Linked DNA regions of Saccharomyces cerevisiae S288C. The protein of the gene in region 1 purifies or fractionates together with the protein of each later gene. This does not show direct contact. Each region holds a gene or a part of one and is shown in the gene's direction. Other genes may lie near its edges.

Region 1 (5,540 bases):
ATTTCTAATGAAACGACAAATGATGTTGAAATTTCTATCCTGAAGGGAATATTAAATTTGTTTTCTAAAATCAGGTAACAGTCATGATGACTGAACATTGATCTGTTGATTTGACCAGTTGACTGCTTCCCCTTCCTCTTCCAACTCTTCCATTTCCTTTATGGCAATAGAGGATGGACGGTAAACTTCAACGTCCATTATCAATGGAATCTCAAGGATATCTTTCAATATGGAAAATTGTTGCTTATTTTTGTGGTCCTTAGTAACAATATTTTCTGACTCATATTGGTAATCCTCTATCAAATGGATAACATGGCCCATCCCCATGCTCAACGCGCTCCGCACATTGCTTTCGTTGTCATCAATAAACCAGGCATTTGCAAAGCTCGACAACCCACTTTGCAATTTAGCTGTTTCGAAGAATTTTGGATCTGGCTTGCAAATGAATTCTTCCTCGATGGGTCTGTCGTAGTGGCAATAGGTTATGCCGTCAAATAGATCAGCAATACCTAATATTTTAACACATCTGATGGCATGATTTTTGTACGAGTTTGTAAACAGCCATAGTTTGTCAAATTTGCCGAGCTTCTTTTTCTTTAAATTGATCAGCAGCTCCCTTAACTTCCAATCAGGCTTTAAATAGTCTTGCAAAGGTAAGGAATCATCGATGAATGTATTATATTGTAGGACGTCATCAATTTGTTTATTCTTTATTAAACCTTTCACGGATAATCCATATTCTTGATAATACGATTCGATTAGGCGTTCTGCCTCATCGTCGTCAAACCCCAATTCGTATTTAAAGAAATTTGATAATGATTGTTGCATGAGCAATTGTACCTTCGTAGATTTTCTGTACAAAGTGTTATCGATATCAAAGAAAAATACTTTTCGAGCAGGATCCGGATCCGGTAATTTGGGAGGATCCACCTCGAAATTGATTTGTGAGCCTAGATGTGTCAAGCTTTGCAAATGCTCCTGATTTAGTCGTATCTGCTTTTTGATTTGGTTTCTATAAATTGTTCTGTAATCTTTAGCGATAGTCATGATTACGTGCGTATAAAACTTATGTGTTTTTTATCTACATTAAATCTTTTACCAACTATGCGTTAAACCGAGTTCGTATATACATATATATATATATATATATATAAACATATATTTCTATACATGTACGAATGTATTACATATGCTAAATGTATGTATATACATTATATGCACATCTCCTAATAATGAGCCATTTCAGTATTGCGGCAAATACGGAAAAACCCGCAGAAACGATCGTACAGATCCAAGAACTTGGTTTGTATGTGAAGCACGTTGCTGCCCCCTTTTTTTCTCAACCATCTCCGGCGGCGACCGCCGGCTTTTTTCTTTCTTTTTCTGGAAAAAGAAAAACCCCCTATATCACCTTTGACGTTTACTCACTAAATACGAAATGCATTACCCTAATCTCACTTTAAACGAATGAAAAAAGAAAGGTGAGGGGGGAGACCGATGGAAAAAAAAATAAAAATTTTTTTCTTTTTTTTTTTCTTCGTTCACCTCATCTCAATTAATGGCTTTTCCTTGACGTAGTTCAGGTAACTTGGTAGTGATTCTCTTATAAAAAAAAATATTATCATATTTAACATGTTAGTGCCCGTGTAGTTTTTCTTCTTCTTTCTTAACTTTTTTCTTGCAAAAATTGTTTTCTTCCCCTCAGTGCTACAAACAGTAACTTGACAGAACCAAATATGCCACCAGTATCTGCGTCAAAGGCCAAGAGAGATGCTAAGAAAGCTGAAAGAGAGGCTAAGAAAGCCGCTGCCGGTAAAACCATCAGAAAGCTAGGTAGAAAAAAGGAGGCTGCTGCTGAAGAATCGGAGGTAGATGCAGCCGCTAGAGAAATCAAGATGATGAAGTTGCAACAAGATAAGGATGGTCTTTCAGATCGTGTTGTCACTGGTGTTTTGAGTTCATTGGAGACTTCCCGTGATATCAAGCTATCTTCTGTTTCTTTACTGTTCCACGGTAAAGTTTTGATCCAAGATTCTGGTTTAGAATTAAACTACGGCCGTAGATATGGTCTTCTGGGAGAAAATGGTTGTGGTAAGTCAACATTCTTAAAGGCTCTTGCTACTAGAGAATATCCTATTCCTGAGCATATTGATATTTATTTATTGGACGAACCTGCGGAACCAAGTGAATTGTCGGCCTTGGACTACGTTGTCACTGAAGCTCAACACGAATTGAAAAGAATAGAAGACTTAGTCGAAAAGACTATCTTGGAAGATGGTCCTGAGTCCGAGTTATTAGAGCCTCTATATGAAAGAATGGACTCTTTGGATCCAGACACCTTTGAATCTAGAGCTGCTATCATTTTGATCGGTCTAGGTTTCAACAAGAAGACCATTTTGAAGAAAACCAAAGATATGTCTGGTGGATGGAAAATGCGTGTTGCGTTGGCAAAAGCTCTTTTCGTTAAGCCAACTCTATTATTGTTGGATGATCCTACTGCGCATCTGGATTTGGAAGCTTGTGTTTGGTTAGAAGAATATTTGAAGAGATTTGACAGAACTTTAGTTTTGGTGTCCCACTCTCAAGATTTCTTGAACGGTGTTTGTACCAATATGATTGACATGAGAGCTCAAAAACTAACTGCTTACGGTGGTAACTATGATTCTTATCACAAGACAAGATCCGAATTGGAAACCAATCAAATGAAACAATACAATAAACAACAAGAGGAAATCCAACATATTAAAAAATTCATTGCATCTGCTGGTACTTATGCTAACTTGGTGAAACAAGCTAAATCTAGACAAAAAATTTTGGACAAGATGGAAGCAGATGGTTTAGTCCAACCTGTCGTCCCTGACAAAGTTTTCTCATTTAGATTCCCACAAGTGGAAAGATTGCCACCACCAGTTTTAGCATTCGATGATATTTCATTTCATTATGAGAGCAACCCATCCGAAAACTTGTACGAACATTTGAACTTTGGTGTCGATATGGACTCACGTATTGCCCTTGTCGGACCAAATGGTGTTGGTAAATCCACATTGTTGAAGATTATGACCGGTGAATTGACCCCACAATCTGGCCGTGTTTCTAGACATACCCATGTCAAGTTGGGTGTCTACTCGCAACACTCTCAAGATCAACTGGACTTGACAAAATCTGCTTTAGAATTTGTCCGTGACAAGTACTCTAACATCTCACAAGATTTCCAATTCTGGAGAGGCCAACTAGGTCGCTACGGGCTAACCGGGGAAGGTCAAACCGTTCAAATGGCTACCTTGTCAGAAGGTCAACGTTCTCGTGTCGTCTTTGCTTTATTAGCTTTAGAACAACCAAATGTCCTACTATTAGATGAACCTACCAATGGTTTGGATATCCCAACCATCGACTCCTTGGCCGACGCCATCAACGAATTTAACGGTGGTGTCGTCGTCGTTTCGCATGATTTCAGATTATTAGACAAAATTGCCCAAGATATTTTCGTTGTGGAAAACAAGACCGCTACCAGATGGGACGGATCCATTTTGCAATATAAGAACAAATTGGCCAAGAACGTTGTTTTGTAATTGTGAAGTTGATCTGCGCCGTGCACGTTTTTACTTCCCCTTTTATGTATTTTAATAGCAATAATTTATATAACTAATCAATCAATAAAGAAAGAAAATCACCGATAACAATGTGAAGGCAAGAAGATATAACAATGACTTCTCCGTATGTGTAAGAATATGAGGGTAATTGCGTAAAAATGTATATAAATGCCATCTTTATGAATAATCCGACCTAAATAAAACCCCAAAAAAAAAAATGAGAGCCCGCCCGCTCAAGTAGAAATAAAAAAATTTACAATCACAGCTACTCAAACAAAACTAGGTTTGGGTAGCGCTGCCTCATGTGGGATATCTGTTGTGAACGAAGCACCGGCAAAGGCCGTATGACCAGCTACGTGCGGTTTCGAATCGATCGACGCCGCCGCCCTATCCTGGTACTGTCTCGTTTTCTTCTTCTTGTATTTGCACGATTTTTTTTTAGGGGCCTTATCATGTAGGAAGGCATCTATGTTAACAGTGACCATCGTTGCCTTATCGTCCTCGTGTCCCGTCTTCGAGGTGCGTTCCCTAGGTTCTCGCCGCTGTTTTGTAGACTTACCGAAGTTTGGTTTCTTGCCATTGGGCAAACTCTGCGTCGGTGGAACTAATATTTGAGTTTTAGTGGGGCGCATGTGCTCCTTGGCGGAAGGAGGACTTTCCCTTGTGACAATCTTGACTTTTGCAGAATGTTTTGTCTCGGAACCCATTATGAGAGATATTTAATTTTGACTATTATAAAAACGTTTGTGTTTGAGTTTCTGTTAGTGTATAACTTTGTATGTAGTGACGTTATTGTCCGGTCTATCAGGAAGGTAATAGGGCACGGGAGGCCGTTGTTTTATAAGTACGGGCATAAGCCGCAAGAAAAAGAAACGTTAAGAACAAAGAAGAAAAAAAGGGGCGCTGATAATCTTTTCACGCAGTAACTGTCGTACCGCGCGATTAGAGCAGTCCATCAAGGAAATCCTGATCGGTCTCTAGTTCTTCCGGTAGATCGGTCGAAGGGGCACTGATCTTCTTGCCCGCACGATCATGATCACCTTGTACGTGAATGGGAACGACTAATGATTCGGGCTCAGCCGCTGTTATAGCCGATGTTGTATTCTGCCGTCCGAGCCAACGATTGAGCTCATCCGTATTCATCTGCTTGAGGTCTTTGATTTTCAAAGTATCTTTATTAGCAACATTATTGACGGCTGTGGCGTCGTCGTTCTGCTGGAGCCGATTTTTGAGGACGTCTTTTAGCACCTTGTTCAACTCTGCATTGGCGACTGCAGAATGCGGGTCCTCGAGTACCGGGTCCTCATAGTACCTGTCCTCGTTTGACTTCAGGGCGGGCTGTTCTTGGTCTTGATCTTTCTCCTCTGTGGTAGCTTTCTCTTCTTTTTGGCGGTTCAATAGCCGGTACTTTCTATCACTGGGTGTGGCATGTTTTCTTTTCAATTTCTGTTTATCTTGAAATTTTTTTCGATTATCCTTCTTTAAGCTGAATGCATCCATTGCGTTTTCAATTGTCTTGTTTTTTTTTTTGTTTTGCTCGTTTTAAGTAGAATAACGTTATTAGTTGTAGCATGTGCTCATCTCCATGAGGTTTCTCCTAATCACTTCCTTTCTTCTCCTTCACCCATACACCCGCCAGCTTTCTTCAATCCGGGTATCGGTTAAATGCAGAGTGCCTAAATGGGCTGCAGATTGACCACTTTGGGTTTTAAGCTTTTCTCCTGATCGCTTTATCCGGACATATTCTCTTAAACCGTTCTTCTACCCGTTTGGTAATACTTCATAAACACAATATGATATTGCTGAGAACGCATTTACGACTGCAAATCTACTATTGAAAACAATTTTAAACATCTGGTCCAATCCAAGGTTTAATAACTATCATTACTTGAGGTGCAACCGCTTTCTTGTACCTTAAATCTTAGCTGGTTATTTTCCTTTTTTTTTTTT
Region 2 (4,118 bases), on another chromosome or scaffold:
AGTTCCGATCCTGAGTACGAACGTCAAATTATGGTTGTCGTTGATAGAATCAATTCTTTGTCTTCGAACATCAGTATCTCTCAACCAGTGGTCTTTTTGCATCAAGATTTAGATTTTGCTCAATATTTGGCATTGAATTGTGAAGCTGACGTTTTCCTTGTGGATGCGCTGAGAGAAGGTATGAATTTAACATGTCATGAGTTCATTGTCAGTTCATTCGAAAAAAATGCGCCTCTATTATTATCTGAATTCACTGGTAGTTCTTCTGTCCTAAAGGAAGGTGCCATCTTAATAAACCCATGGGATATAAATCATGTAGCACAAAGTATCAAGAGAAGTTTAGAAATGTCTCCAGAAGAAAAAAGGCGTAGGTGGAAAAAATTATTCAAATCTGTTATTGAACATGATTCGGATAATTGGATTACAAAGTGCTTCGAATACATAAATAATGCTTGGGAGTCCAACCAAGAAACGTCTACTGTTTTCAATTTGGCTCCAGAAAAATTCTGTGCTGATTACAAAGCCTCCAAAAAGCATTTATTTATCTTCAAGATTTCAGAACCTCCAACGTCCAGAATGCTATCCTTGCTAAGTGAATTGAGTTCAAATAATATAGTTTACGTTTTGAGTTCATTTACAAAGAATACATTCGAAAGCTTATACAATGGTGTTCTAAACATCGGATTGATAGCGGAGAATGGTGCCTACGTAAGAGTTAATGGGTCGTGGTACAACATCGTGGAAGAGCTTGATTGGATGAAAGAGGTGGCAAAGATCTTTGACGAGAAAGTCGAGAGGTTACCTGGTTCATACTACAAAATCGCTGATTCTATGATCAGATTCCATACAGAAAACGCTGATGATCAAGATCGAGTCCCAACTGTTATTGGGGAAGCCATTACGCACATAAACACCTTATTTGATGACAGGGATATTCACGCTTATGTGCATAAGGATATTGTCTTCGTTCAACAAACGGGGCTAGCCTTAGCCGCCGCTGAGTTTTTGATGAAATTTTACAACAGTGGCGTCAGTCCTACTGACAATAGCAGAATATCTCTATCAAGAACATCCTCTTCGATGTCCGTCGGTAATAATAAGAAGCATTTCCAAAACCAGGTAGATTTCGTTTGCGTTTCCGGTTCGACATCACCTATTATTGAACCATTATTTAAATTAGTGAAGCAAGAGGTTGAAAAGAACAATCTAAAATTTGGTTACACCATTCTTTACGGTAGCTCAAGATCCACTTATGCCAAGGAACATATCAATGGTGTCAATGAACTTTTTACCATCCTTCATGACTTGACAGCCGCCTAAGCGATCATTTTCCCTCCTGTACTTTCAAAATGTTCTCTTTCTTATTCTTCAGTTATAGTTTTTACGAGCGATTATAAATATAAAAGTACGATCTTCCTTTTACGTATATATGTATATACAGCACGATAAATTACAAACAAGTTTCAACTAACAATGTGGGTTATTTCTCATATTGTTAATGAGATCTTATAATAATCATTATACACGAACGCTATTTTTCACTTTTTTTTCATTTTTGTTTTCGCCGCAAGAAGTAATAGTGAAAAATTGAAAAAAGCTTCAATTTTAGTTTGCTGAAAGAAACCTTTACTTATGTAGAAGGTGTACTTGCAAAAGCACTAGTGTAATATAGAGCAAAGTTCATCATGGGTAAGAAAAACACTAAAGGTGGTAAAAAAGGTAGAAGAGGTAAGAACGACTCTGACGGTCCAAAGCGTGAACTTATTTATAAGGAAGAAGGCCAAGAATATGCTCAAATCACCAAGATGTTGGGTAATGGAAGAGTCGAAGCCAGTTGCTTTGATGGTAATAAGAGAATGGCCCATATTAGAGGTAAGTTAAGAAAGAAAGTCTGGATGGGACAAGGTGATATTATTCTTGTTTCCTTAAGAGATTTCCAAGATGACCAATGTGATGTTGTCCACAAATATAATTTAGATGAAGCCAGAACACTGAAAAACCAAGGTGAACTTCCTGAAAACGCCAAAATTAATGAAACAGACAACTTTGGTTTCGAATCTGATGAAGACGTTAACTTTGAATTTGGTAACGCTGATGAAGATGATGAGGAAGGTGAAGATGAAGAACTTGATATTGATGACATTTAATTTAGGCCGAACAAGTGTCCTCAATATCTTCTAATGCGTCAACTATTCATAATTTATTTATAATTATATTTTTTAGTCCATCATAGGAAAGGGTTTTCTTTTTACTATATCGAAATACTTATATATAGATATCAAAAAAAGAATAAAAATGAAATACCTCAAGAAGTCGTTTAATCTTCCTTCTAGGGTTTCTTTCAAGCGGACGTTAAGGAGACGTAATAAAAATTTTCTCGCACGAGAAATTTGAGCAAAGAGCACGTTGCGAATACGTTTTATCCATTCATCGTTTTTAATTTATTACCTTTTCTTTCGATGCTGTTTATTGTCACTCATGAGTGCTTCCGTTTTTTCCATCGAAAATTTACTTTTTTAGACTGAAAAGAAAATGAAAAGTTAAAATAAATTTTTACCAGAAAATGCTCATCGCAGGAAAATGACAATACTATTGTGAGCTTCCCGAGGTACACATTACTTCATACTGAAAGTTTCAAAAAATGACTACGGATGTGCAATTTTCAAGTCAGGAAATCGAGCTTTTCCGTGTCAAAGAATTCTTGATTGCTAATAATCCAGCAAAGATCAACAATGAAAATAAGGATGCTGTTTTAACTCAGATTGAGCATGATTTCAGGTATTTAATACAGTATATCAAGGACGGATTACCGAACTTAAATGAGTCCACAAGGTTAATTTTTCCAGATACCTTTTCGATCTGTTTACTAAGGAGCCATCAAATAATTGCAAGCAAAAAAATTGACTCTCAAGAATTTTTATCGGCGGTAAAAGAGCAACTCTTAACTGAAGCGAATGCAAATATTATCTTTGAATATGTTCTTGACTTTTGGGCTGATGGTGGAGCCCCACTGATGAATGCCTTGAGAGATTTATTCAGTAAACTACTGAACTTATTGAAAATCACATATCCTATGTCAACCTTGAAGGATGTTTTATTTAATTGGATGAATGAAATATTAGAAGTACCATCTACGTTGCGTGTTCAGTATTACTTGATTGATGCCCTTTCTTCTGATTTTGACCTTTATTATATTATAGAAAAAAAGCCTCATTTCATCGATAACTCTTTTTCATTAATGAACTCTGATTTGCTAGCAAATTCGGTAGGTAAATGCATTGTTAGTTTGCTGTTAAACATTTACGAAAAGCATTTCAAAAAGAACGAGTCTTTTGTACAAGAATGGATACAATTATGGAAAAGTTGTGCTTTAAAGTACATTCACGACAAACAATACACCAAATCCATTAATCTGTATATTATGATTCCATTATTCAAAAATATGCCAAACTCGGCCTTCACACTTTTCCTAGAATGTATGTCTAACAAAGACCCATCACTTTTGCTCTCACTTTTAAAGATTGGCCAAGAATTGGGGATTGAAGAAGAACCATTTTGTGATAATAAATATACCACTGTAGATTCTGTTAACAAACTCATAGAGCAAGATGAGTATAAACTTCAGGTATTTGAAATACTGACCTTTTCGACAAAAAAGTCAAAGCCTATTCGTCCCTTCGTCTTCAAAACTATAAAACAGTACCTATATGTGTTCTTCGTGGACACTGAACTTGAACGCAGAAATTACTTTTGCAGTTCGATGAAACACTTTATATTTAGAACCAGAGACTGCGCATACTCTTTAGCTAGGGATGCCAGAAAGCTTAAAAAGGCTGAGAAATTTCCGGACGAACAGAGGGAAAAGTTGGCGCAAGTTGAGGAGGCTAGAGCCTTTTTGGTTTGGCTATGCAATTTTATAAAATATAATTTGGCCCCTGGTACTTTATATCAGGCGAACGTGACCTCATTAAAACTTATGCACATTCTGATCAAGTCTGGTGTTGATAAATCTACTCCACAAAAATTTTTAGACAACCAAAATAAGAGGGAATATCCTTTTTCTATCCCAATTTTACAGGATGTCACATTTTTAAGGTTGCTCATTGACCTTTTGGTTA
Region 3 (9,076 bases), on another chromosome or scaffold:
CACATCATCGGCGGCTACTCAATTCAACGGCTTTGAGCAGACTGCGGATATAGTATACATAGACTCTGAACTCGATTGAAGGATATATTTAACCACGACTTTCGCAAGAGAGACGGAGGGGGTGGGAAAAGGCTGAATGCAACCATTGTCACTAAGAATTTGAGTGTTCATGAACGAGTTATACACGCTATTTAAGAGTCAGAGAATGATGATTCAAGAAAATTCTGGCATTTTTCCTGTCCACCACTGTACGCCATTGTACACAAAAGTATTTTTTTATATTTTTTTTACAATTTTTTATAATTTTTTTTTATGTTTAGTGTATATTTGCTAGAAAGAAACAAGATCTTTTTTGGTAGTGTAAATGCTTAAACTTTGTCTCTTTTTCCTTTTTACTTTGGAAAAATGCCGACGCAAGAACATAGACATCTGCGAAAACCAAAAATAAAGTACCAATTGTACATACAAAAACAGAGAAAAAGTTCATGAACAGAACGTTACTACGGTATAGCAAGATCTTTGAATACATCCATTACTTCGGATTGTTCACCATACTTCAACACAGGCCAAGATAGACCATAGCTACAGTGATAGACGAATATTTATTTCAAAAGAAGCATCAACCATAAAATAAAAAGAAAAATGATGAAAAAAAAACCAAAGTGCCAAATTGCAAGGACCAAACCATCGGTCGAAAACGTCATACCATATAACCAATTCAAGAAGACGCAGCCGCGATTCAACGGCAACTTTTCTGCACTGAATAATGAAGAATACATAATACTCTTTGGCGGAGGTCGGGACCTGATACTAGGCTCCCTGACACCTTGTTCGAGCTCTCATTTGTCCAATCAAGCCAACCCACAAGACACCAGTGAGTATGGCACAGACCTGTTTATACTCAACAGCTGCATTATCATTTGGTTCAATGGCTTGGGATATGGGCTGGAAATTCCCTACAGCAGCGTTTTGTACCATGCATCAAGACGGCTACCAGATGGTAGGGAAGGGCTTCAATTAGAAATTTTGCTGACTTTGGAAAGAGACGAAGTGTTGGACATGCTCTACCAAAGCCTCGCGCCACAGGCCTGCGAATTCGACGGCGAAGAAGCACATGCCTTCACCGTGCGCAGCGTGGAATTGACTATCAGGCCCAAATATTCAATATACGATCGCCATTATAACAACGAAATCGAAACCCTTTTCACCTTCGAAAACTTCGGCGTGAACAGGGGCGATGACCTGGTAAACAATTGTAACGAAGCACTAGCCGTATGCATGGACCTGCACGGTGAGGACGTACAAGATCAAGACCAGGAACAATACCAAGATCCAAGCATGGCGTTTGAGGGTGCGCAAGATCTCAACGCCACGTATTCTGGGCTTGGAGACACCCTTCACGGGCCGCCCGTGTATCAGAACGACGGGCTGGCAGACGATCTGGATGGCGACCTCGTTATGGACAACGTGGTCTCTAGGGGTGGTCCAGAAGCAAGTATGTCTATGGAGTTCTACGCAAATCAAAATCTTGCTGGCAGAAAGAACTCCAGAGACAATGAATGAACAACATCTATTATGGGAACATCCCGCTGTACTATGCGGTCTCGTCCTCTACGAATATGGCTATTTGCCTTCGTATATACCTTTCTATACCAAGTAATGAATGTCTTGAGGGCCCGTATGGCCGCGCGAAGGCTTAGTTAAGATGTTTCAGCAAACGGCAGCATGTGAAAAAACCCGTAGAAGGTCCGCATCAGCCTTCCATGCCCGTGCACCCACGGCTCCTCGGAGGCCGGGTTATAGCAGCGTCTGCTCCGCATCACGATACACGAGGTGCAGGCACGGTTCACTACTCCCCTGGCCTCCAACAAACGACGGCCAAAAACTTCACATGCCGCCCAGCCAAGCATAATTACGCAACAGCGATCTTTCCGTCGCACAAGTTAAAAGAAATTGTTGAAAAATACAAATAATCGCGAACAATACGTTGTTGCTATTTAACGCTTTTGGTCTGACAGTAAGTGTGCCTTTCCCAATCACCGAAAAGTGTTGAACGATTCACTGCGACAATAATCAGAGATTACAGTCGGCATTTTGGCATTTTTGGCATACTTTTTATCGATTGAACCATCTTCTCCAAACACTTTTCCTTTTTCCTTCTATTCTGCAGGACCAACTAAAACTGGGTATATATATCATTATCTATATATATAAACGGCTTTCAACAAAGTTATAGGGGAAAACTAAAAATATAAGAAAAAAAAAGGTATTGATTGATAAGGAAAAAGAACCAAGGGAAAAATATAAAAAAGTACATTGGGCCTTTTCATACTTGTTATCACTTACATTACAAAGAAGAACAAACAACTTTTTTAAACGAATTTTCTTTCTTCCTTTTTCAATTTATTAATTCTTTTTTTCCATACAATTCAAGGTCAAATATATTCTTATATGCTCTTTGAATATTTCTGAAAAATATATAAAGAAAAGAAACTACAAGAACATCATCCGGAAAATCAGATTATAGACTAGGATTCCGCTCTTTTTAGTATATTTATTCGCCACACCTAACTGCTCTATTATTCGCTCATTATGGACGCTTACTCCACAAGACCATTAACCCTATCTCACGGTTCTTTAGAGCACGTGCTTCTGGTACCAACCGCTTCATTTTTCATTGCTTCGCAATTACAAGAACAATTTAATAAAATTTTGCCCGAACCCACTGAAGGGTTTGCTGCAGATGACGAGCCTACCACACCTGCTGAACTAGTGGGGAAATTCCTTGGCTACGTATCTTCTCTAGTCGAACCTTCCAAGGTCGGTCAATTCGATCAGGTCTTGAACCTTTGCTTAACAGAATTTGAAAACTGTTATTTAGAAGGCAATGACATTCACGCCTTGGCTGCTAAACTATTACAGGAAAACGACACAACTTTAGTGAAGACTAAAGAACTAATTAAAAATTATATTACCGCCAGAATAATGGCTAAGAGACCATTTGACAAAAAATCCAACTCTGCTCTTTTTAGGGCCGTCGGCGAGGGTAACGCACAATTGGTAGCCATTTTCGGTGGTCAAGGTAACACCGACGACTACTTTGAAGAATTGCGTGATCTATATCAAACTTATCATGTCTTAGTGGGAGATTTAATCAAGTTCTCCGCTGAAACTTTAAGTGAACTGATTAGAACTACTTTAGATGCTGAAAAAGTCTTTACTCAAGGTTTAAACATATTGGAATGGTTGGAGAACCCTTCAAATACCCCAGACAAGGACTATTTACTTTCCATTCCAATTTCATGCCCCTTAATTGGTGTCATTCAATTGGCTCACTACGTAGTTACTGCCAAGCTTTTGGGTTTCACTCCAGGTGAGTTAAGATCTTACTTAAAAGGTGCTACAGGTCACTCTCAAGGTTTGGTTACTGCTGTCGCCATAGCTGAGACGGATTCCTGGGAATCCTTCTTCGTCTCCGTAAGAAAAGCAATTACTGTATTATTCTTCATCGGTGTTCGTTGTTACGAAGCATACCCAAACACTTCCCTACCACCATCCATCTTGGAAGATTCCTTGGAAAACAATGAAGGTGTTCCATCTCCAATGTTGTCCATTTCCAATCTAACTCAAGAACAAGTTCAAGACTATGTAAATAAGACTAACTCTCATTTGCCAGCTGGTAAACAAGTTGAAATTTCTCTAGTCAATGGTGCGAAGAATCTAGTCGTATCGGGCCCACCACAATCATTATATGGTTTAAACTTGACTTTAAGAAAGGCCAAGGCCCCATCTGGACTGGATCAATCAAGAATCCCATTCAGCGAAAGAAAATTGAAGTTCTCCAATAGGTTCTTACCTGTTGCATCACCATTCCATTCCCATCTATTGGTTCCAGCTTCAGATTTGATTAACAAAGACTTAGTCAAAAACAATGTCAGCTTTAACGCTAAAGATATTCAAATCCCCGTTTACGACACTTTTGATGGTTCAGATCTAAGAGTCCTTTCAGGTTCCATTTCCGAGAGAATCGTCGACTGCATCATTAGATTACCTGTCAAATGGGAAACTACTACACAATTCAAAGCCACCCACATATTAGACTTTGGTCCAGGTGGAGCTTCCGGTTTAGGTGTTTTAACCCATCGTAATAAAGATGGTACTGGTGTTCGTGTTATCGTTGCCGGTACTCTCGACATTAACCCAGATGATGATTACGGATTCAAGCAAGAAATCTTTGATGTTACTAGTAATGGTTTGAAGAAAAATCCAAACTGGTTGGAAGAATACCATCCAAAATTAATTAAGAACAAATCAGGCAAAATTTTTGTCGAAACAAAATTTTCTAAATTAATCGGTAGACCACCTTTATTGGTTCCTGGTATGACACCATGTACTGTTTCTCCAGATTTCGTAGCTGCTACCACAAATGCTGGTTATACCATTGAGTTGGCCGGTGGTGGTTACTTTTCCGCAGCAGGTATGACCGCCGCTATTGATTCTGTGGTTTCTCAGATAGAAAAGGGTAGTACCTTCGGTATCAACTTGATCTACGTCAATCCATTTATGTTACAATGGGGTATTCCATTAATCAAGGAACTAAGAAGCAAAGGTTATCCAATTCAATTCTTGACCATTGGTGCTGGTGTCCCATCATTGGAAGTTGCTAGTGAATACATAGAGACATTAGGTTTGAAGTACTTGGGTTTGAAACCAGGTTCCATTGATGCTATTTCGCAAGTTATAAACATTGCTAAAGCACATCCAAACTTCCCAATAGCTTTACAATGGACCGGTGGTAGAGGTGGTGGTCATCATTCTTTCGAAGATGCCCACACTCCAATGTTACAAATGTACTCCAAGATTAGAAGACATCCAAACATTATGTTGATATTCGGTTCTGGTTTCGGTTCTGCTGATGACACTTACCCATACTTAACCGGTGAATGGTCCACAAAATTCGATTATCCACCAATGCCATTCGATGGTTTCCTATTTGGTTCGAGGGTCATGATTGCTAAGGAAGTTAAAACTTCTCCTGATGCTAAGAAGTGTATTGCTGCTTGTACTGGTGTTCCTGATGATAAATGGGAACAAACCTACAAGAAGCCAACTGGTGGTATTGTCACTGTTCGCTCTGAAATGGGTGAACCAATTCACAAAATTGCCACTCGTGGTGTTATGCTATGGAAGGAATTCGACGAAACCATCTTCAACTTACCAAAGAATAAGTTGGTACCAACTTTGGAAGCAAAGAGAGATTACATTATCTCAAGATTGAACGCCGATTTCCAAAAACCATGGTTTGCTACCGTCAACGGTCAAGCCCGTGACCTAGCCACAATGACATACGAAGAAGTTGCAAAGAGATTGGTGGAATTAATGTTCATCAGATCTACCAACTCTTGGTTTGATGTCACATGGAGAACCTTTACTGGTGATTTCCTACGTCGTGTCGAAGAACGTTTCACTAAAAGTAAGACATTGTCTTTAATCCAATCCTATTCTCTACTAGACAAGCCTGATGAAGCTATTGAAAAAGTATTTAATGCTTATCCTGCCGCTAGGGAACAGTTCTTGAATGCGCAAGATATTGATCACTTTTTGAGCATGTGTCAAAATCCAATGCAAAAACCAGTGCCTTTTGTTCCAGTTTTGGATCGTAGATTCGAGATTTTTTTCAAAAAAGATTCGTTATGGCAATCTGAGCACTTGGAAGCCGTCGTCGACCAAGACGTTCAAAGAACATGTATCCTACATGGACCTGTTGCAGCACAATTCACTAAAGTCATCGATGAACCAATTAAGAGCATTATGGATGGTATTCACGATGGTCACATCAAAAAGTTACTACATCAATATTACGGTGACGATGAGTCAAAGATTCCAGCAGTTGAGTACTTTGGTGGTGAAAGCCCTGTAGACGTACAAAGTCAAGTTGATTCTTCCTCTGTATCTGAAGACTCAGCTGTTTTTAAGGCAACATCCTCTACTGATGAAGAAAGCTGGTTTAAGGCTTTGGCGGGATCCGAAATTAACTGGAGACATGCAAGTTTCTTATGTTCCTTTATCACTCAAGATAAAATGTTTGTTTCTAACCCAATTAGAAAAGTTTTCAAGCCAAGCCAAGGAATGGTTGTTGAGATTTCCAACGGCAATACTTCTTCAAAGACTGTTGTCACTCTTTCAGAACCTGTTCAAGGTGAATTGAAACCAACTGTTATTTTGAAGTTGTTGAAGGAGAACATAATCCAAATGGAAATGATTGAGAACAGAACTATGGATGGTAAGCCCGTCAGCTTGCCATTGTTGTACAACTTCAACCCAGATAATGGTTTTGCTCCAATCTCTGAAGTTATGGAGGACAGAAACCAAAGAATTAAGGAAATGTACTGGAAATTATGGATTGATGAGCCTTTCAATTTGGACTTTGACCCAAGAGATGTCATTAAGGGCAAAGATTTCGAGATCACCGCTAAAGAAGTTTATGACTTTACACACGCTGTTGGAAACAATTGTGAAGACTTCGTTTCTAGACCTGATAGAACGATGTTGGCCCCAATGGACTTTGCTATTGTTGTCGGATGGAGAGCCATCATCAAGGCCATTTTCCCTAATACGGTCGATGGTGACTTATTGAAGTTGGTTCATTTGTCTAACGGCTACAAGATGATTCCTGGCGCTAAGCCACTGCAAGTTGGTGATGTTGTTTCAACTACTGCTGTTATTGAATCTGTCGTCAACCAACCTACAGGAAAGATTGTCGATGTGGTAGGTACATTATCGAGAAATGGCAAGCCTGTCATGGAAGTCACCTCCTCATTCTTCTACAGAGGCAACTATACTGACTTTGAAAACACTTTCCAAAAGACTGTTGAACCTGTTTATCAAATGCACATCAAAACTTCTAAAGATATAGCTGTCTTGCGCTCTAAGGAGTGGTTCCAATTGGACGATGAAGACTTCGATCTGTTAAACAAAACTTTGACTTTCGAAACTGAAACTGAAGTTACTTTCAAGAATGCTAACATCTTCTCTTCAGTGAAATGTTTTGGCCCAATTAAAGTTGAATTGCCAACCAAAGAAACCGTGGAGATCGGTATTGTCGATTACGAAGCCGGTGCCTCTCACGGTAACCCTGTTGTTGATTTCTTGAAGAGAAACGGTTCCACATTGGAACAAAAGGTCAATCTAGAAAATCCTATTCCAATTGCAGTACTTGATTCGTACACTCCAAGTACCAACGAACCATACGCTAGAGTTTCTGGTGATTTGAATCCAATTCACGTTTCACGTCATTTTGCCTCTTACGCAAACTTGCCAGGTACTATCACGCACGGTATGTTTTCTTCTGCTTCCGTCCGTGCTTTGATTGAAAACTGGGCTGCTGACAGTGTTTCATCCAGGGTACGTGGCTACACTTGTCAATTTGTTGACATGGTTTTGCCTAACACTGCTTTGAAAACATCGATTCAACATGTTGGTATGATCAATGGTAGAAAATTGATAAAGTTTGAAACTAGAAATGAAGATGACGTTGTAGTTTTGACTGGTGAAGCCGAAATTGAACAACCTGTTACTACCTTCGTTTTCACTGGTCAAGGTTCACAAGAACAAGGTATGGGTATGGACTTATACAAAACTTCTAAAGCTGCTCAAGATGTTTGGAATAGAGCTGACAACCATTTCAAGGACACTTATGGTTTCTCTATCTTAGACATTGTCATTAACAACCCAGTTAACTTAACAATTCACTTCGGTGGTGAAAAGGGTAAGAGGATCAGAGAAAACTATTCTGCTATGATCTTTGAGACTATCGTGGATGGAAAATTGAAGACTGAAAAAATTTTCAAGGAAATTAATGAGCACAGTACTTCTTACACATTTAGATCTGAAAAAGGTTTATTGTCTGCTACTCAATTTACACAACCAGCTTTAACTTTGATGGAAAAAGCTGCTTTCGAAGACTTGAAATCTAAAGGTTTGATCCCAGCCGATGCTACTTTTGCTGGTCACTCTTTAGGTGAGTATGCTGCTTTGGCCTCTTTGGCTGATGTTATGTCTATCGAATCTTTAGTTGAAGTTGTGTTCTACAGAGGTATGACTATGCAAGTTGCTGTTCCAAGAGATGAGTTGGGCAGATCCAACTATGGTATGATTGCCATTAACCCAGGTAGAGTCGCTGCATCATTCTCTCAAGAAGCTTTGCAATATGTTGTTGAGAGAGTTGGTAAGAGAACCGGCTGGTTGGTTGAAATCGTCAACTACAACGTTGAAAACCAACAATATGTTGCAGCTGGTGATCTAAGAGCTTTAGACACCGTTACCAATGTTCTAAACTTCATCAAATTACAAAAAATTGATATTATTGAACTACAAAAGTCCTTATCTTTGGAAGAAGTTGAAGGTCATTTGTTTGAGATCATTGACGAAGCTTCCAAGAAATCTGCTGTCAAGCCTCGCCCACTTAAATTGGAGAGAGGTTTTGCTTGTATCCCATTAGTTGGTATTTCTGTTCCTTTCCATTCCACCTACTTGATGAATGGTGTTAAACCATTCAAGAGTTTCTTGAAGAAGAATATCATAAAAGAAAATGTGAAGGTTGCTAGATTGGCCGGAAAGTACATTCCAAACTTGACTGCAAAACCATTCCAGGTTACTAAGGAATATTTCCAGGACGTTTATGATTTGACTGGCTCCGAACCTATCAAGGAAATCATCGACAACTGGGAAAAGTATGAACAATCCTAATTTCTTAAGTGATTATATAACCGTAAGAAATATTTAACTTTGAAACTCCTGTATACTAATGTTTAATATAGCTGGCTTATGATTTTAGTTCTCTTCTCCTATTATAAATAGATACATTGATTAGGTATTTTTATAATATACTTGGGATTAACAGATGCTATATGAATTTTTTTTTCCGCCGCAAGCCCTCGCTAGGGCGGGGCAGATGCTGAAGAAAAAATTTTCTGTTCCATTGGGTTATGTTTAAAAATCAACGATATTCGAACATAATCGATGACCTTGATGATTAGCGAAGTTCTGCTCTAAAGAAATTAGCTTTAAAAACAGC

The links.
Region 2: the proteins of ARB1 (region 1) and TIF11 purify together in Saccharomyces cerevisiae (affinity purification with mass spectrometry, with the first as the bait; one large-scale study listed by BioGRID). This does not show direct contact.
Region 3: the proteins of ARB1 (region 1) and FAS1 purify together in Saccharomyces cerevisiae (affinity purification with mass spectrometry, with the first as the bait; one study listed by BioGRID). This does not show direct contact.

What each region holds. Positions count from the first base shown.
Region 1 is NC_001137.3:221,396-226,935, reverse strand, and holds ARB1 (ATP-binding cassette family ATPase ARB1), read left to right. Parts: upstream 1-1,736; coding exon 1,737-3,569; downstream 3,570-5,540. Other genes in the region: Smc5-Smc6 complex subunit KRE29, read left to right, coding at 1-78; PHM8 (bifunctional nucleotidase/lysophosphatidic acid phosphatase), read right to left, coding at 82-1,047; EDC2 (Edc2p), read right to left, coding at 3,860-4,297; YER034W (uncharacterized protein), read right to left, coding at 4,533-5,090. UniProt on the Saccharomyces cerevisiae protein: ATPase that stimulates 40S and 60S ribosome biogenesis.
Region 2 is NC_001145.3:787,407-791,524, reverse strand, and holds TIF11 (translation initiation complex factor eIF1A), read left to right. Parts: upstream 1-1,685; coding exon 1,686-2,147; downstream 2,148-4,118. Other genes in the region: TPS3 (trehalose 6-phosphate synthase/phosphatase complex subunit), read left to right, coding at 1-1,320; tRNA methylation protein TRM732, read left to right, coding at 2,642-4,118.
Region 3 is NC_001143.9:98,079-107,154, forward strand, and holds FAS1 (tetrafunctional fatty acid synthase subunit FAS1), read left to right. Parts: upstream 1-2,592; coding exon 2,593-8,748; downstream 8,749-9,076. Other genes in the region: ornithine decarboxylase SPE1, read left to right, coding at 1-79; YKL183C-A (uncharacterized protein), read right to left, coding at 317-529; LOT5 (Lot5p), read left to right, coding at 643-1,563. UniProt on the Saccharomyces cerevisiae protein: Fatty acid synthetase catalyzes the formation of long-chain fatty acids from acetyl-CoA, malonyl-CoA and NADPH.